Drosophila melanogaster: one gene and its partners. The protein of the gene in region 1 purifies or fractionates together with the protein of each later gene. This does not show direct contact. Each region holds a gene or a part of one and is shown in the gene's direction. Other genes may lie near its edges.

What was found.
Region 2: the proteins of Echs1 (region 1) and CG8195 purify together in Drosophila melanogaster (affinity purification with mass spectrometry, with the first as the bait; one large-scale study listed by BioGRID). This does not show direct contact.
Region 3: the proteins of Echs1 (region 1) and CG12768 purify together in Drosophila melanogaster (affinity purification with mass spectrometry, with the first as the bait; one large-scale study listed by BioGRID). This does not show direct contact.
Region 4: the proteins of Echs1 (region 1) and Arglu1 purify together in Drosophila melanogaster (affinity purification with mass spectrometry, with the first as the bait; one large-scale study listed by BioGRID). This does not show direct contact.

The regions. Positions count from the first base shown.
Region 1 is NT_033778.4:13,852,404-13,856,149, reverse strand, and holds Echs1 (Enoyl-CoA hydratase, short chain 1), read left to right. Parts: upstream 1-1,818; 5' UTR 1,819-1,951; coding exon 1,952-2,048; intron 2,049-2,244; coding exon 2,245-2,969; intron 2,970-3,034; coding exon 3,035-3,100; 3' UTR 3,101-3,203; downstream 3,204-3,746. Other genes in the region: CG6553 (uncharacterized protein), read left to right, coding at 398-1,175, 1,232-1,413; CG30485 (uncharacterized protein), read right to left, coding at 3,332-3,746.
Region 2 is NT_033778.4:15,562,184-15,567,591, reverse strand, and holds CG8195 (uncharacterized protein), read left to right. Parts: upstream 1-1,790; 5' UTR 1,791-2,018; intron 2,019-2,545; 5' UTR 2,546-2,780; coding exon 2,781-2,870; intron 2,871-2,930; coding exon 2,931-3,071; intron 3,072-3,127; coding exon 3,128-3,181; intron 3,182-3,245; coding exon 3,246-3,849; intron 3,850-3,909; coding exon 3,910-4,321; intron 4,322-4,379; coding exon 4,380-4,428; 3' UTR 4,429-4,895; downstream 4,896-5,408. Other genes in the region: Flo1 (flotillin 1), read left to right, coding at 1-349, 420-563, 625-789, 1,001-1,018; CG12963 (uncharacterized protein), read right to left, coding at 5,368-5,408.
Region 3 is NT_037436.4:22,908,899-22,913,524, forward strand, and holds the start of CG12768 (uncharacterized protein), read left to right. Parts: upstream 1-1,592; 5' UTR 1,593-1,674; intron 1,675-1,934; exon of another isoform or gene 1,935-2,253; intron 2,254-2,691; exon of another isoform or gene 2,692-2,857; intron 2,858-2,935; 5' UTR 2,936-3,027; coding exon 3,028-3,335; intron 3,336-4,365; coding exon 4,366-4,626.
Region 4 is NT_033779.5:9,934,257-9,940,076, reverse strand, and holds Arglu1 (arginine and glutamate rich 1), read left to right. Parts: upstream 1-1,942; 5' UTR 1,943-2,071; coding exon 2,072-2,419; exon of another isoform or gene 2,420-2,566; coding exon 2,567-2,839; coding exon of another isoform or gene 2,840-3,073; exon of another isoform or gene 3,074-4,507; coding exon 4,508-4,591; intron 4,592-4,653; coding exon 4,654-4,821; 3' UTR 4,822-5,310; downstream 5,311-5,820. Other genes in the region: CG4619 (uncharacterized protein), read right to left, coding at 1-1,113. UniProt on the Drosophila melanogaster protein: Post-transcriptional regulator of gene expression; modulates splicing and premature cleavage at cryptic polyadenylation sites of its own pre-mRNA through binding and regulation of the U1-snRNP complex.

The DNA.
Region 1 (3,746 bases):
ATAACAAGTTTTTATTCAAGTTCAAATATTTTTGAATCTGTTTAGTGAACTTACTTTTTTATATTCTTGATGGCAAATTATTGGAGGCATGTTAGTAACCAAAAGTATATTAAACATTTCCGGATTTGGATTTGGAAACGGGAATGTTTCGCCACAAAACGTGCATCACAACTAATGGCAAACTCGATACAACTTTGGAATATCCCTTTGATAGGATTATCTAAAAACGTGATAAGCTCGGTCATTGAAAATACTGACTGCCGCTCAGAAAACCCCATGACTGATAATTGTGCACAGCTAGAGCCGTATCATCATCAAACTGGTTTGGACAACTCTCGTAATAATACCCTTAACTGCGCCATGGAACCGTCAGTCTGTCGATTGGAACCCATTTAGAATGTTCGGAGCGCATCAGAATCTCTCAATTCAGCTGGTGATTTTTCTCTCCTTAGCCGTCACCATTTGCTTGGGATCCCAAAATGCCACAAGCTGCGGGCATCGCTGTGGAGGAGGCGACTGTATCCAACTGGACCAGCTGTGCGATGGGAGCGCCAACTGCTTGGATGGTTCCGATGAGACGGTCGCCATGTGTGAGAAGGTCTGGTGTCCGGGTTATGCATTTCGCTGCAGCTACGGTGCGTGCATAGCCAGCACAGCGGTTTGCGATGGCGTCCAGGACTGCGTGGATGGTTCGGATGAGCAGGGTTGGCTGTGCCGGGCGCAGATGCAGCAGGCTAACTGCGACAACTGGGAAATGTACTGCTCCTCTGGCCAATGCATGACCTATTCCAAATTGTGTGATGGCATCCGTGACTGCCGAGATGGAGACGATGAGCTGGAGTCCCTTTGCGAGGGCGTTACCATACCAACGACTACAGTCAGTTCAACGACAAGTACAACTACGGAAAGTAGTATCCATAGGATAACTCCCACTGTTCCTGTAACAAGGAAGGCGTCACGACCAAATCCTCTTCAGGAGAACGGGGAGTGCGTGGTTCCCCAACTGCCAAACGTTATGGTTAAGCACTTCACAGATGCAATCCTCACTGTAGGATCAAGGGTAGCCAATGGCACCCGTATCTACTACGACTGCCCGGCGGAGCACAGACTGAAAGGCGAGAACCAGAACATTTGCCAGGACGCATTGTGGGCTAGGAAGTTTCCTTACTGTGAAAGTAAGTTGTGTATTTATCAAAAGTTTCTTCATTAATACTAATTTATTTACTTTTAGCACCCCAAGCGTATGTTTTCAGCTTGGTTATAGTAATATTCTGCTTCCTAATCGTGGTATTGGTGTTTCTAATTTGGCGGGTGCGTCGAGAAAATGGCTCAAGAAGGCAACGAGAGGAGCACATTTGGCTGGTGGAGACCAGCAGTAATCTTCCCCAGACATCTTCAATACCAAAGGTCTAGGAATTAATTTTTACAAAGCTAAACATGTGATCACGCATACTTACTTATTTACCAGCCAAGTTGTTGATAAAAAGTACTGTTAATTTCAAACTATCTAGGCTTATCTTATGTAAATAATGTTATTTCAAGTTCTCCATAAAAATTAAAAGCTTAAATACGAATGTATATTTATTTTTAGAGTAAAACGTGAGAAGTAGTATTATATTGTAAATATATTAAAACAGATTTAAGAACATAATAATTGTGTTATTAGGTTGCACATTTTAATTTCGGCTGTTAACAATACTTTTGCGTTAACAGCTGTAATGCTAGAACCACTTGTTGCTGCGACCCAAACTGTGACTGAAACAGTGACTGGAAATAGTGGCATTTCTGGTGGGAGCGAACGCGGTCACACCTGCCCCACTAGTGCGCCAATATTGCTCCAGTGCTTCGCAGCGTAAGTATCCCAAGTTCTAGAGTGGCTCCATGCCAGATACCGCCACAGATTAGATAACGAATTGCACTTGCAGCCGGCTCAGAGTTCCTTCAATTGAAAATGGCCAACATTGCTAAGATCTTCGCTAGCCGCGCCCAGTGCGTCCTGCAGGCAGCCGCCCGTCAGCCACAGGTGGCCACCCGTTTCAGCAGCTCCTGTAAGTAGATGGTTGATTGCGAGGGATCAAAGTCCACGCGATTGATGCCCAGCTCCAACCTAAGCCGGAATATCAAGATATCAAGTGCCGCCGGTTTCTTGGCGACATCTTTTGTACTTTTCCAGGCAAATAAACATTGATTGCGTAACATTCGCGCACATACGATCACCTCATTTATGATGCCATCTCTTTTCAGCCACCAACAACAACTGGGAGTACATCAAGACCGAAGTGGCCGGCGAGGGCAAGAACGTAGGCGTGATCACCCTGAACCGCCCCAAGGCCCTGAATGCCCTCTGCAATGGCCTGATGAAGGAGCTGTCCACCGCATTGCAGCAATTCAGCAAGGATAAGACCATCTCCGCCATCGTTTTGACGGGCAGCGAGAAGGCCTTCGCCGCTGGCGCTGATATTAAGGAGATGGTGGGCAACACCTACTCGCAGTGCATCCAGGGCAACTTCTTGAACGACTGGACAGAGGTGGCCCGCACCCAGAAGCCCATCATTGCTGCCGTGAATGGTTACGCCTTGGGCGGTGGCTGTGAGCTGGCCATGATGTGCGACATCATATATGCCGGTGACAAGGCCAAGTTTGGTCAGCCTGAAATTGCCCTGGGCACCATTCCCGGTGCCGGTGGCACCCAGCGTCTGACCCGCGTCGTTGGCAAGTCCAAGGCCATGGAAATGTGCCTCACCGGCAATATGATCGGCGCCCAGGAGGCTGAGAAGCTGGGTCTGGCCAGCAAGGTGGTGCCCGCCGACCAGTTATTGGGCGAGGCCGTCAAGCTGGGCGAGAAGATCGGCACCCACTCCAATCTGATCGTGCAGCTGTGCAAGGAGGCGGTTAACACGGCTTACGAGACCACTCTCCAAGAGGGCCTGAAGTTCGAGCGTCGCACCTTCCATGCCACGTTCTCCACGGTTAGTTCAAGTTTAAATATCTGCTTAACACTATTTAATCTCTTGTATTTTCTTTCATCCAATAGGCCGATCGCAAGGAGGGCATGACCGCTTTCGCCGAGAAGCGCCCTGCCAAGTTTACCAACGAGTAAATACTACCCTAATCAATCCCAGCCAGCTTTGCATTTATATTATCTAAAAGAAAAACTGTTGTTTCTACGCAATTAAAACTTTAATCGTGATAATTTGAAAATGAACAATTTACCATAATTTGTCATTAGTATATGAGGTATGCTAGTCCGCATGTCAGGTGGTAATCCATTAGTATAAACATGGTATGGCCACTTGACAGTCGGCTTGCTAGCCCGATTATCCTCCTATTTCTAATCGAAACAAAATAAGTGCTTAGGTGACTTCCATGGTTGTGTCTTGTTGCTTTCGAGTTTGGAAGGCATGTTTTTTGGAAAATTGTGCGCTGTGTAGCGTTGCCTTCGTGAAGAATATTCAATCTCATGGAAATCTATACCTCCCCGTATCCTTCTCGAGCCATGTGGATTTTTATAGTGCCTGGAGGCATCGGAGTCATCGCAACAACGAGCTAAATGTCGATAATTTCGTGACCGTGAGTAGTTCTTATCCCTGTGCATGGGACAATGTTCTGTAAATCGGAAACGATTCCCCTTTGGTTCAATCACACAGGGATCACTTAGTTCGGTGGTAAACTCGTAGTTTCGATATGTAACCAATCCTCGACGTATGCCCGGATTTTGTGACTCAGTTGGCCGTGAGGTGAGCAAG
Region 2 (5,408 bases), 1.7 Mb from region 1:
GGCCGCACGCTTCCTCAACGATACCGATATTGCCAAGGCCCAGCGCGACTTTGAGCTGAAGAAGGCAGCATACGATGTGGAAGTGCAGACCAAAAAGGCCGAGGCCGAGATGGCCTACGAGCTGCAAGCGGCCAAGACCAAGCAGCGCATCAAGGAGGAGCAGATGCAGGTGAAGGTGATCGAGCGCACGCAGGAGATTGCCGTCCAGGAGCAGGAGATCATGCGCCGCGAGCGAGAGCTGGAGGCCACCATCCGCCGACCGGCCGAGGCGGAGAAGTTCCGCATGGAGAAATTGGCCGAGGCCAACAAGCAGCGCGTGGTCATGGAAGCCGAGGCCGAGGCTGAATCGGTTAGATACCATCTAAATATTTGCTTATAGACTACGATTAACTGAAGCATCTCCATCTTCTTTGCAACAGATCAGGATTCGTGGTGAGGCTGAGGCCTTTGCCATTGCGGCCAAGGCTAAAGCAGAGGCCGAGCAGATGGCCATGAAGGCAGAGGCCTATCGTGAGTACCGTGAGGCTGCCATGGTGGAGATGCTCCTGGACACACTGCCAAAGGTTTGTCAATGGTTAGATTAAAAGAATCTATAATTTATTCTATGTTGAATCTAATTCGCAGGTTGCCGCCGAGGTGGCTGCTCCACTGTCACAGGCTAAGAAGATCACGATGGTGTCCAGCGGAACTGGCGATATCGGTGCTGCCAAGCTGACCGGCGAGGTTCTGTCGATCGTCAACAAAGTGCCAGAGCTGGTCAAGAACATAACCGGCGTGGACATTGCTCGGGTACGTTCCAATTCTGAATTTATCTAACTTCAGAGCTCGTCGAGGTGAATGAATGACGACGCAATCGAAACCAAAACAAATGGCAATCAAAAGACTTTGTAGACAGGAGGACGCTGCTTTCGTTTGCTACCTTCGTTTGATTTGAGCCTTGTTTTGCGATATAAATTCCCTGGTTTCGATTCACTTTACGTTTCCTTTCTCTTCATTTCAGTCTGTGCATGCTGGCTAAAAAAGTACCCAAAAGAAAACCAAAAACACACAAAATTATGTACTCTTCAAAACGAAAATAAGAAAACAAAAAAGAAATTACGCTATATTGAACGATCGAATACTTCAAAACTGAAATCGAACGCATTTAAATTTCTTTATAATTAATATATTATTGAATCTTTGTGCTAACCCGACAAATTTTGCAACATGTTTTACACACACACTCAGAGAGAGGAGCAAAAATATTTTGTATTACATGTATAATGTATTTATATAAGTGTATTGCACAAAGCGTGGAATAAATATTCTTCCTTGGATCAACAAATTGAGTTTATTTTAATGGGTCGGCAAATATAAAGGAAGTTGAAATTTTAAAATACCAAAGGTTTTGGCGGTTATTCCACATTGCCACACTTTTCAATTTCGCATATGCGCTGCCACCTTTTGATATAAATACGTTGGGCAACCAGCGTTGCCATGCCTTTTAATTAATCCATAAACGATACGTCTTCAGTTATTTTATAATGTTTTATTAATTTTAAATATATTATTATTAATGTATTAATCAGCCAATTGTTTCTGATGAAGCATTGAAGTTGGCTTCTCTCAGATAACTTCAGCTTTAGTGAAAGTTATGAAAAGGAATGGAATAAGAGAATTTGTAGGCATTTATATATAATAGCATTGTTATCACAAAATATATATTATATATTCAAGACGCAAAAAACAATCGATGCGATATAAGAAGTTGAATACATCGATAGTTTCGATAGGTTGATGTTGTACCATCACTAATAGCAGCTCTGTCCAGCTGTGCGGATAAAAAATCATAATCAGAATATCAGTATTATAACGCACATTACTCCCAAGAGTGTAATCTGAAAACCCACTTGAGTTAAGACAAATCCTAGAAAATAGAAAACCATAAATATTGTTTCCGCTCAACAAAACAAACACAAAGAAAACAATTGCGGCAGTGGGAAGGAAAAAAGTTCCGCCTTCAAAAGAGGAATCAAGTGGTAAAAACTGCATAAATAAGTCAAGCATAGCCGCAGAACTGTAGATAATATCACAATTAAGTGATGACCAGTAGACTTGTTGACTTTTTCAGACTTCATATCGCTGCCTGTGTTTATTGATTTTGTTTTTGGCCTGTTATCAACAACCTGCCGCCCACTCCCACCCTCCCCCTCTCCACACTCGACAAATGTATTCTTATTTACCCAACAAACAATTGGTTTTCAAAGCCACATATCTTATCAGTCAGTCCCCCCGAAATCTTGCTAATTTGTTTATACTTATCTGATCACCGCGATCGGTGATAATCCCAAATTAGATGGAGATATCTGCTCAAGCAGATGTTAATTGACCGATGGCTTTGTTAATCGAATTGCTGCTACCTAACAAAAGCGATTCGATTCAAACGTGTTAAATAGTAATTTGCGCCTTGAATAATGCCGCACCCACTCGTCAACAAAAAATCAATAAATGCAGATCCCTACCAACTTTATGCACTCACACACTCCCTCCAATTTTTCCATTCTAGCTAAAATGACTACCTAAAGCCCAAGGTTTATCTGTGTAAAATTCACGGACCACGGACCTTTTATCACTTTTGAAAGCAGAACCTAAAGACACCGCAACAATGAAACTAAAACGCTGGCGGCACAAGCGTAAATAGTTATTTGTCAACGGATAACCGAAGGAGCAAGACATCCCCCAAAAGGCGGGAAAAGAAGCTAAGTTCGTTTGGAAAACATTCGAAAAACAGGCGAATAATCATGCTAGGTCGCACACAACGTCTCCTGTTGGGCATATCAATACTGGTACTAGTCGATGTGGTTTGGGTCTCATCCAGTGAGCTGACAAAGGTGATAATTTTGTTTTGAAAACATTTGGAAATCGGTTTGAATTTTGATATACTTTACTAGTTCCTGTACAATGAGGCCAATTTTGACAAGCCCTTCTTCTGCACATACTTCAAAACCTCCATGTTCAGCATTTACCTGCTAGTCATCGGTATCCTGGCTCCCTGGAAAGAGTCATGCGAGCGACAGAATGGAAACTATGCTGTAAGTAATTAGATATCCTAATTATAAACCCTACTAAGTGATTCTTCTTCCCTTAGATGATGGAGCAGAATGCAGATGACGAGAATTATTACTCCAATCAGGCTGTTTTGGTAGGCAAATCATACAATCATATATTATGTACAAAAAGATGTAACCTTTGTCTATACCTACTAGGGAGACCCAACCTATGTGCCCATCAGATCGCCTCACTTAGGAGCCGGAGGACAATCCAATGGCACCTCAAACTCCATATCGGGCACCGAAAGCGATGATTCAAGTGTAAGAAGTGTGCGCTTCAGCAAGATGGCCGAAGTCAGAGAGATGTCTGCCCACGAAGCCACCGATGCCTTAATGGCCAGGCTTTCGTATGCCGCCAGCTTGAGAATTAGGCGCCAAAAGACACACCACAAAACGGCAAAGACTGCGCTACTCTTTTGTCTGCTCTGGTTTGCGGCCAATTACTTCTTTCAGCTGGCCCTGGAAATGGACGAGGCGGCCATGATAACACTGGTTAGCTCAACATCGTCATTCTTCATTATCTGCCTGGCAGCCGTATTTCCCTCGGCAACAGGTGACAAGCTGACTATCACCAAGGTGATTGCGGTGGCCATGAACATTGGCGGAGTGGTGGCCATCACCATGAACGACCTACACGATACCAAGATGACCAGAGGCGTCCTTTTAGCCCTTTTCAGCGCTTTCTTCTATGCCGCCTATTTGGTTTTCGTGAAGCGAAAAAGCGATACGGAGGAGAAGGTCGATATACCATTGTTTTTCGGTGAGTAAAATTGCTAAATTTTGAGTTTGATCGCTGCTTATCTTCTGACTCCCTTTTTAGGTTTTGTTGGCCTATGGAATATGTTGCTTTTATGGCCAATATTCTTTATCCTCCACTTCACCAAAATAGAAACCTTTGAGCTGCCCAGTCAAGGGCAGTTTGCCCTTCTATTTTTGAACGGCTTAGTTGGCACTGTGCTGTCGGAGGCTCTTTGGCTGTGGGGCTGCTTTTTGACATCCTCACTGATTGGCACGCTGGCAATGTCGCTACAGATTCCGCTAGCCATCCTGTTCGATGTCCTGCTGAAGAACAAACCGTATTCGCCGATGTTCTACATGGGCTCGATACCCATCTTTGTGGCCCTGGTGTTCGTTTCGCTATTGATGCGTAACGACGATTCCGACCCACTGATGAAGCTCTTTAGGATTGTGTATAGAAAAGTCTGCCGGTGCCATAAGCCAAGCATTGTTAGGTGAGTCTGGTGTTCTGGCAATATGAACTGTCTTTTAACAGCATAATTTCTTGCCTAGGGTCAACGATGACGAACAACAGGAGTCGCTGATAAGCAACAGCGATTAAACAATAGCAATAATCACGAATGGAGGCTTTTTGTAAAAGTCGGGCTTCTACAAACTTTGAATGTTGCTCATTGCAATGCAATCTAAAACTTGGCTGTTTACGAGTTCGTTTCGAATCGTTCTTAAATCATATTGGGACAAGTCCTGCACAATTTCCCTTCGGCCCTGATTTGTGTTTCTCATTTGTGCATTTTTCGTTGGATATTATTGTGTTGCGAACTTACGTACAACTATTTATTATAATCTTACAAGTGTATTTATTCTCTGTAAATAGCTTTAGATCCCACGAATACCGTTTATCTATGTGATAGTCTACAACGTTTTGCTGAACTCCACCTATAATTTATTTCCTCGGTATTCACACTGCGCTTAGCTGTATAATTGTTGACTTCTCAATACAAGATGAAAAAACATATACACATATTGATAACTAATTACAATAAATAAAACTTGTCTACCGTAAGCTTTAAAATCTGCTGAATCTAAGGTTAATAGCCATACGGTGGCAGCGGTTAATCGTATGTAAATTAGAAACCATTACTTTTTCATTTTTAAATAATGTCGATTACACGATTTCTGAGTTTATGCTTTATGGAACTTATTTATTTTTGATAAGAACTGATTTTTCATGATTCATAGAACTAATTTATTTTGTATTTTACCATTAAGAACCGATTTTTATATTGTACTTAATCATGAACTTTCCCAAAGTTAAAAGTCATTATTTTCAATTAAATAATTCACTTTAATTTTCATCCTATGTCCTAAAAATATATATTTACAATATGCGACTCCTAATGTCTAGAACTTAAATAGGTATGTACTCAATAAGATCACACAAGTTCATTTCTGTACTGAAAGCGCACACAAAGTGGCATCTGTGTGGCCCAGAGTGGCACGGCGAATGCTTCAGTTCCAATTTATCCATGCCTCCGACGGATCACACCGCTGTCGTTGGCAATGGAGCAGGAGGACCAGATC
Region 3 (4,626 bases), on another chromosome or scaffold:
TACTACGTAAAATAATAGGCAATTTTCCCTGGCCCCTAACGGAACCGAAGTCGCCCTACTCAGCTGATTTTATCCCAATCTGACACGCCCGTGACATGCTGTTGCCTATCCGAAAATATTTGTGTACCACGGATTACATTGCAGTAATGGATTTAATTTAAGCTGTGGACCGCGTTCGACTCAACTGCAGATTCATCAGCGCCGAGAACGCATACTGATAAGTCGAATCAGAATCAGACAAAGCGGTATGCTGCGTTCTGCTGAAAAAGGAAAGGGAGAGCGAAAACACGGATGGCTGTGTTGGTGCGATTGATAAATACGAGTTCATTCTTAAAGCTTATTTTTTAGATGACCAAGCGGGAGACAACAACGAGTAAACAAGAGCAACAGCAACAGCGGGCAATAAAGTTGATTGCAGCAGTGGCAAATTGAATATTTGCCAGCGCGCGTGTGTGTGTGCGCAGCCTTTTTGTTTGTGCTTGTTCGCATTGTTAAATATCCGCACCAGCAGTGCAGCCAAATGGGATGATAGATGCCGAATGCCGAATGGCGCGCGAGCAGAGCGAGTGGCTACCATTGTTAATCCGCAGTTCGTCCTCTGTGCCCCTTGCCTCCTCCCTCGCTCATTCCTGTGCCACAGCTCAGCTTGCTACCAAAACTCGACCTCGACTTCATCCCTTGCTCTCTCGGAACTCTCATGCTCAAGCTGTTGCTTCAGCTACAGCTCAGCGTACAATTGTTGCTTTGCGGAGACTGCGCTCATTGCCGGGTGCTGCCAATCCTGGGTGCAATCCGTTCATTATTTATCCGGCTGGTGGTAAGCAAATAGCGCTCACAAGCCACTTAGTGCTATCACTCTTGGATTAATCACTGGGCACGGCTCGGCGATAACGTGTCACTGCCACAAACGGAACCGCAACGGCGATAAATATTTTTCACAGCGAAAATAACACTGCCTAACAAAGTTTGAAACACTGTGACTAGAACATTTCCAAACTTCAGCTATTTCTTCAGCTATCAGTTATATATTTTAGAATAGATAAACAGAATATATATAATGCCATTTATGTAATGATTTCGATGAATAGATAGATGGCTAATATTTTACCGGTACTCCACCAAGGTGTTTTAAAGAAGACGGCTTTAAAGGTTTCCTATAATATACATTTTTTTATTAAATTTCATTTTATTTATTTTAAAATGCGTCCCGTTTGAGTGGAGGATATGTCTAATATAGTCCTAAATAGATACCAAGTAAATATCTTTTCGTATCACTCCACACACACACAAAAAGTTGAGTTTATAATTACATTATTCACGCAGCCCTCTAGGCTCCCTCACTATGCCAATTTCTTTTGTTGTGTAGTGTAATAGCATAGGATTGGCAGCCTCCGATTGTTTACACCAGCGTAGGCGGCACTGCAACAACAACAATAGCATCCTCTGCTCTCATTCTCTCTCCCGTGCTTTGCGCTCTGGAGCGGAGCAGAAAAGAAAAGCGCCATTCGCTCACTTTCTCTCCGGCTCTCTTTGTGCTGCTGCGCCAATTTGCAAGAAAACTAAGTTGGTTTGCTGTGCAGTTGTGACAATCGTCGAGGAGAGCAGCGGCGCACTCTCTAAAAGGAAGCTGCCAAGCCAACGAACGGCCAAGCGAGAGGTGACAAGTGAAAAGTGGCAAGTGGATGTACCAAATAGTGACAGGTTCACTAGTAGTAATCGCAAGTTAGCTGCCCGTTTGGCTGCAGATTTTCGTCAAAGTTCGCTATTCGTGTTGTTTTTTGATGTTTTCGTCTCTCTCGGCTGTCCGCATAGGCAATGTGTGTATACATATACGCGATTTCACACTGACAACAGGGCCGGGCGCGTGTATGAGTGTGGTTATTTTGCCGTGTTGCCGAACATCTGTATCTGTATCTGAATCTGTGGCAGCCAATAGTTGTGGCAAGGCCCTCGAGCAACTCGCAACACAACACATAACAACAGCATCCCCAATAAGTGGCAGCAACTACGCCGCATGGCAAAGCACCAACGGCCGCATTTGTTGTTAATTGAAATAAATTGAAATAAATTCCCCGACTTTGCTGCTCATATTGTTAATAAAGAGAAGCCGGAGCGACGCAACAGCGAATCAGCAGCAGTAAACAAAACTGTGAGCAAAAGGTTTTAGTTCCATTCCAGGCGTCAGACGACTTTGAGTACAAGCGACAAACAACCAGAACATCTAAGGAATTCCGAGCGAACAATGTGAATAATGTTGGTATCACAAGCAATTGGTGGCAATAACCAAAAAGAGCACATGCGTTTATTTATAGACCCCAGTGTGTTCCCATTAGTGAGTGTGTGGCGTGCTGTGCACTGCAAATGAGTTCAAGCTGCAGCCAAAGAGAAGGAGGCGTCCTACCAATACCAATCCTTGTGTAGTCTTGTTCCCTCCACAATCAGATCGGTCGCAGACCAACAGTAGCAGCTGAAATTCCTCGATCGGCACACGAAATCGTATGTAAATACTTTCCTGCCGAGTCAGCCTCTCAGAATGCCAATGTTTACAGTATTCGATTATTGTTTAACTAACAGCCTCTTATGGGAAAGTGGAATACATACATTAATTGATGGGGGAGGTGGGGGTTGGGGTTTGTAGGGTCTGCTATAAGCAGATTTCCCGTATTTGATTTGTCCCCTCTGTTGTCTCAGTTTCAGTGGGACCCATACTCCCGAAAATCAATTGTATTTAACTGTGCGTATGCGATTTCGAAAACAAAAACACCCCTCCTGCTGGGGTCATTGCACCCAAGGTGCGTGGGTGCGTGTGTCAACACTTTTGAACCCCTAAGCACCCACCCGAGAAATACGCCGAAAAGTATGCAACGAACATGGCGACCATCAGCACAAGCAACTTTAACGATTTTCTCACCTCATTTCTATACTTACTTTGCAGCGCAGCATCCGGCGACACAGGACATGCGCAGTGGCCTTTTTGGTAGTTGCATTTCGGCCAACAGCGACTGAAAGAGCAGAGAGCGGAGGAGCATGGCCTTTTCCCGCCACAACATCGAGAAGCGCCGACTCATCGAGCTCGTGCGACTCAACCCAATCCTCTGGGACTGCCGCCTGCCACACTACAAGCGTTCGGACAAGCGAAAAGCCATCAAATGGAACGAGTTGGGGCGGCTCTTCAACGTTAATGGCGAGCGGGTGCAGCGCACGTTTACTTCGCTCCGCGAGATCTTCCGCCGCGAGCTGAACCACGAAAAGATGCTGGGCACCACGCGCTTCAAGTCCAAGTGGGAATACTACGATGCCATGGCCTTCCTCAAGGAGGTCATTCGGGAACGCAAGTAAGACGACGTTTGACCTGCCCTAAAATACTACCTTATGATATATGTAGATCCCGTTTAAGGGATTTTGGACATTCCAGTTATTTGTTCTAGTGTCTTTGGAAAAAGGGTTTACTAAATTCGTTGAAAAGTGTGTAACAGGTAAAAGGAAGCGTTTTCGACCATATAAGGTACATATATATATTTCTGAACAGGATCAATAGCCAAGCCTCGAGCTCAGGAACTATAAAATACCACACTTTTGAAAAATGTTTTCATTTTTCTTGGTTTCATTTTTTTTATCTTACCGATATACCAAAAACACTTTGGCTACGCCTCTTCTGAAAAATTCAAACCGCTCACAACAATTTTAATTCCCCAATATCTATCGACAAGCAAGGAAAATTATAGAATTTCGCGTTCGCACTAGCTGAGTAACGGGTATGTGATAGTCGGGTTTTCGACTACAGCAATTGTGTTCCGATTATAATCACTGAAAAAGTTGTTTGAGCAAATTCGGAGAGAGGTGACCGCGAAATAATCACCGTCACTTAAAAGCCTAAACATATTTACATATTCAACATTTAGATTTTGATTTTACGCGATTTTTAAGTTTTTATTGTTATAAGAAGAATGATTAGTGTAAGGGATTGGGAATATAAATGTCGAGATAGTTCTCAAAATAATACGCAAGTCACCTTCCTCGGTTACAATAAATTTACATTGATTTTACTGAAATCAAATCAAATAAAAACTAGTTAAAGAAAATAACTGTTGTCTACCGAATAAGAACAATGACGCAGATAAGAATATAAATGTCTAGATAATTCACAAGGATTGTGTGCAAGTCAAATCTAAATTTAAGCATTTAGGAAGGGTATACATAGAAATTCTATTAAAACTTTGAATTTGTTTCATGTGGTCGGTCCAGAACTGACCAACAGGCAAGAATGAAATGCATGCCTGCGGATCTGCATCATAGCACCTATCTGCTAACCTTGAGGCAAGCACCCGCTTTCCAAAAAAGCTAATTACAACTTTTGCTTTTTAGATCTCGCGAGCGCATCAAGCACGGCTCTTTGGATTCAGCACCAGTAGCCACAGGCAGCAGCAACAATAACAACAACTGCGTAAGCCGCAATAGCAGCAACAACAACAGCAGCAGTGCGGCCCTAGACGAATATCAGTACTTTGCTCCTAGCGACCCCAACAACCCGAACAATCAGCCCCAGCTGCAGCCCGAACCAAAGAGTAGTCTGCCAGTGACTATTCCCAGTCTAAGTCTCACCCTCAGCCAGTTGCCGGTGGCTCT
Region 4 (5,820 bases), on another chromosome or scaffold:
GAAATATTCGTACTCCCCATGATCCAGCTTGCGCAGGGCGGTCAGTTCCAATTGTCTGATTTCCTCAGGAGTCAATGCACAATTGAGTTGAGCGCTGGCCCACAGGAATGTGGCCAAGTCTTTGGAGCGCAGGTCTCCAGGCTTGAGAAGAGTCATGAGTCGTTTTACGACGACAGTTAGGCATTCATTCTGATCCCAAAGCTGCTCGGCAAAGAATGCAAAGATATGGGCAAGTCCTCGGGGTTCAATATGGGTTATCTTTACAGGATCCAGACAGATATCTTGCAGGTGCTGGCACACTCGTTCATCTTTGACTTGCTGCAGACGCAATGCCTTGACAAAGGAGACCAGCAAGGCATCGCTTCCGGTGTTTATCTCCAGATTTAATATGGCATTAACGAGTCTTGCTTCGTATGCCGTTTTCGCCTCACCGGTTACCAAAGTTGAGGTTTTGTACGCCGCATTGCTGACCACGGCAAGGTCCATTTCATTTAGTTCAGGCAAATGCGTTTGTAGATGCTCTTCCAGGAGTTGCTGGAATTCCTCAGAAGATTTGGCCTGCTTCTTTTGCAATCCCATATAGAAGCACACCTGAACGAATCGCTCCTTGTTGCCGCGAAAATCCTCCCTGACCAGTCGTTGCATGGCTGCTTGGTAAAAATCCAATCGCTTTATCCAACTTGGTATGAGGAATAGAAAGGAGTAGAGCGTCTCGAGCACTGTGGCGGTATCCATCTTGTCCAGCTGTTTAGCCGCATGGTTATCCAACGTGTTAAGCGCAGTCACATACATGGGTACAGCGGCATTGGAGCGATAGCTGGATGCCTGGATGATCAGGGCGGGCAATTGGGCTGCATCCGTTTTCTCTACCGTCCGCTGAAAGTACCGGTCGTCCGTGATGGGAAAGAAGTCAGAGTACCGGACCGTCGTCTTGGGCAACACGTGATCCGAATCCCTGTAGCGCTCCAGTGCAATGTGCTTGGCGAAGCGGGTCAGCAGTGTGCCGGTCTCATCGCTGCTCCGCAATACATCTCTGGGCGTAAGGGAGGCGTAGGTTCTGATGGGACATCCCAAGTTGGTGACGCCGGCAAAGCGGCGAAGCAGGGCGTACATATCGGATGCACTTCTTCTCAATTTATGTAATGAATTTACAAAACAACGTGCAAGTCCGCAAGCATACGTTAAATCTGCATTCGCTTTTCAACACTGACTAATTTCCTCTCACACGAAGTGAACTACTAATAAGCAAAAGAGGGAAACAGCTAGAAAAGCACCACTGTTATTGGAGACTTTCGAGCACTGTTCAAACACCTGTTTCGGTTAATTGATAGCAACAACATGGAAAAGGCAGCTGGTTTTGTTATTTTTCGCCGCCTTTGTGGGGAAATACAATACCTATTGCTGAAGGCTTCCTACGGCTCCTTCCACTGGAGTTCTCCCAAGGGACATGTGGACCCAGGCGAGGATGATTTTACCACTGCCCTGCGAGAAACGAAAGAGGAAGCCGGGAAAGTGCACAACGATATATCTTTTAAAACATGCTTAATTTCAAAAATGCTCTCATAGGTACGACGAGAAGGATCTGATCATATACAAGGACACTCCGCTGACCCTGAATTATCAGGTGCAAGACAAGCCGAAGATTGTTATTTACTGGCTAGCGGAGCTGCGGAATCCCTGCCAGGAGCCCATTCTCTCCGAGGAGCACACCGACCTCAAGTGGCTGCCCAAGGAGGAGGCCAAGCAGTGCGTCGGCTTTAAGGATAACCAAGTCATGATCGACAAGTTCCACCAAATGATTTTAGATCAAAACAAACCAATGTGAACTGAAAACAATTGCCGGTCTAATGTTGGGCAACACAGAAATTAAAATAAAAAAAGCACAGAAAATACCGTATCAAAAAAAATACCAGAATTATGTCAGGCCAGTATGCCAACGTTGTGCACACTGTTTTAAGGCATCTGTGAAAATTGCTCGAGAAATTAAATTCGCTCTCATTGATTTGTTGTGGCAGCCAAGTTAAGCCCTTCGACTAGCTCGAAATCTTATACAATCACACAATCCAGCACCATGGGCTCCCGTTCACGTACACCCAGTCCGTCGGGCAAGCGACGCCACCATAAGAGCAAGCACAAAAAACGCAGTAAGTCCCACCACGACCACGAGCGGCCCAGCACAAGAACGGATAGAGACAAGTCCTCGGAGGTGAACAACCATGGACGACATCGCGAACGGGACAGGGACCGCGAGCGGGATAGACACCGCAGCGACCGACACACTGAGCGCGACTACCGTCACTCCCCCTCGATCCTGAAATCCCGAAAACGCTCCAGCTCGTCGAGCAGCGACAGTCAGTACTCCGAGCAGGAGTCGCAACGTAGCAAACAGAAGCGCAGCCGCTTTAAGAAGCTGGATGAGGTAAGTGGATAGTGTCCATAGTCTGTCATCTTGAGCACTCCATGGGTACGCATTCCATACACGCATTTTTCCGGGATGGACACTCATGCTGCGCTTATGATACAACTGTTTCGATGAAAGCAACTAAACTATGATCTACCATTACAGCAAAACCAGATGCAGGTCGAACGCCTGGCCGAGATGGAGCGGCAGCGTCGGGCGAAGGAGCTCGAGCAAAAGACAATCGAAGAGGAAGCCGCCAAGCGCATAGAGATGCTGGTAAAAAAGCGCGTCGAGGAGGAGCTAGAAAAGCGTCGCGACGAAATCGAACAGGAGGTCAATCGACGCGTTGAGACCGCCAAGGCTGAGATGGAGCGCGAAATGATGCTGGAGCTGGAGCGGCGGCGAGAGCAGATACGCGAAGAAGAACGCCGGCGCGAGGTAGGTGCTCGTATTCAGATTCCGCTGGACGACTGCTGCTATCACTGTCAGAAACACGTACACAATGCCACATTTACCGTACACTTGAATAAATCCAAAACAGCAGTTCAAACAGTCGTCTCCACCACGTCACGCGAAATCGATCCGGCGGCGCTCTCAGTCGCGGCTCACTGGCTGTTCATCCATCAACCCATGTCCCATCAGCAGCCTCCCCGTACTAGATTGCTTGCATAACCCTGGGCCAAGGGCGCCCACTAACCGGGTACATCACTAACCAGTCGCAACTTTTCAGAGCCCTCCCCACATGATGCAGCAAGCTAAATGCTGTGAGCCGAGATGAGAACGCCACGGCTCGTTTTGCCCCTTTTTTTCTTCTTGCCAATAATTTTGTAACTTTTTATTTTTCCTACCAAAAAAGCCAAAATGACGACATTGCCAAGTGTCGCATGTGTCAAAGTTTTGATGCCCATTATTGCAGACTTATTGCATACTCTTAGCTTCATCTTTTGTTCGTTCCTACCCACATACTGTATCATTTTAATTTTTTTGGTATTGGTTCTCGTAACTCGTTGTTGTTGTTATTGCGCGCAAATTCCGCTTCAGTAGGCCCGTGCAACGAACGTGCTGCTCTTGTCCCGTATGCAAGTGGGTGTGTGTGGCTGTTTTGTGATCCTTACCCGCAAAACACTCGCGTGCACTCCACGTTGTGCCGCCATGCCGGAAGTTGAGCAAGCCTGCTGCCGAGCGATTGGTCCACGGACGCATTTCCTCCACACCAAACAATAAATATCAAAAGAATCAAAGAAATACCAAAGCCCAGCGAAGTGGTATGGTGTCCCTAAGTTAGTCCGGGTAGTTAGGCACTCTAGTTGTGGGCGGGCCGACTGAGTTTAGTCCCAACAGTACGCTGCATGCAAATCAAATCACTGCCACTTTTGATAACGGGTGAGTTTCCTACGCCAGCGATGTGTGATGTTGCCCAGCAGCCGTAAGGATAACAGGCGAGAAAGGACGGCGCACAGACCCAAAGACTCAAAGACTCCCCCCAGGGTTTAGCTCTATAGAACTCTGTCTGTAAGAATTTTTGAAACCGGATACGCATTGGATTGCCACTTATTTGTGTTTAAGCTTTTTGTTTTTGCGAGCAAATTACATATGTACGTCTGGAATAGCGAAAAACTCCACAAAAATAATCCCAAATCGAAAATCTGCAAAAAAAAAAAAAAAGAAAACCATAAATTAACACAAATTTAGCCTATTTACTGGAATAATGACCTATTTAAATAGTAAGTAGCAACAATAAAAAAAAAAAAAAACCAAATGAAGACCAACCATTTAGCAAATACTAGTACATTTGTTTATGTTGTGTGCTCCTTTATTGTAATAAACTAAAAGAACAACCTACTTTAAACATTCTTATTAGACACTACTAAATGTTTTACTTTCTACCGAAAATATTCTTTGTAACTTATTGTTAAACATAAAACTAGATTTTAACTGCCTTTGCAGCTCATCAAGCAAAAAACTGCAACCACAAACGTGCGTCGAATTCGTCGCACAGTTTGCATCGCTGATGTCAAGAGACTGTTTATTTCTATAATTAGCATTAAGCTTCTCGCTAAAGGATCGATTTTTGTTATTAATCGTCTTCTTGTTTGGGTTTTATAGGAGGATGAAAAACAAAAACGCGAAGAGCTCGAAGAAATTTTGGCCGAAAACAATCGCAAAATCGAAGAGGCGCAAAGAAAACTGGTAAGAATTCATAGCAAACAAACCATATTATTATGATCATAATTGATTTCTTTTTTCTTTAGGCCGAAGAACGGTTAGCAATAATCGAGGAGCAGCGCCTTATGGACGAGGAGCGGCAACGCATGCGCAAGGAGCAGGAGAAGCGCGTCAAGGAAGAGCAGAAGGTCATATTAGGCAAAAACAATTCCAGGCCCAAGCTATCGTTCTCCCTGAAACCGGGCGCATTATGAGGAGCGTAGGCATCAGTCTGGTGACCGTCGCACCTTTTCTTGTTAACAGCTTTTGCTTTTTTTTTTACCTCAGTGGCTATTTGCCTGCGACACAGACCATGCACTCGTTTTCATTGTTGTAATTGTGTTCTATATTATTTTTATTATTTTAAGGACGAGCTGTGGTGCTGAGAGCAGGCAAAGCACAGCCAATAGATTCAACGTTTTCAAAATTGCCAATTACTGAACACATACGGCTCTATATAGTACAATACGCTAGCGATTTACTTAACCTTTTCTACATAAAGAATTCATATGTGAGACAAATGATTATGTGTAGTGCGTCGTATTGTTGTCACAGCTGAACGATTAACAAAAAAGAAGAAAAAAAAAAAAAGAAAACCAAAAAGATGTCAGTGAAATACATATGTAATCTATTTGCAATTTTTTGATATTTCAAGAAAACATAGAAATCAGCTGAAATCGATAATAAAAAACTTTAGAAATGCCAAAAGTTGAATATTATTATATATAATCTGTATAAGCTTAAGTGTTTCAGATTTGCAATGCAAGAGCTACAAGTGCATTAGCGAGCGAATTAAGCACCATTCGCTTAGTAAATTTGACAGTTTTGCCAAAACATACGTGCGCTTTTCAGCTCCTCCATCCTCCACCGAATCCCCCGATCCCCTTTGGTATCGGACACGATCTAAGCCAGTGTACATGTCGCTAAGTAGACACAACTTATTATTTATAGAGACTACTTCAATTTATATGTCTCTTGTTGCTGATTGGGTTGGGCGACGCTGGACAGCGGGCGACAGCCGGCACGCCCGCGCGTAGCATGGAACTGGAGGCTGCGATCAGGTGGAGAGGCGGCGGTGTCCGATCTGTCCAAGTGCGTGCGTGCGCAGGAGGCGGGGATGCCGAATTGGTAGGCGACTTCACTCAGAGTCGTAATGTGGTTCTAAGCGAATGTGGCGCAAGATATGCCTGTTATGCATACGCACCAAGGTACTC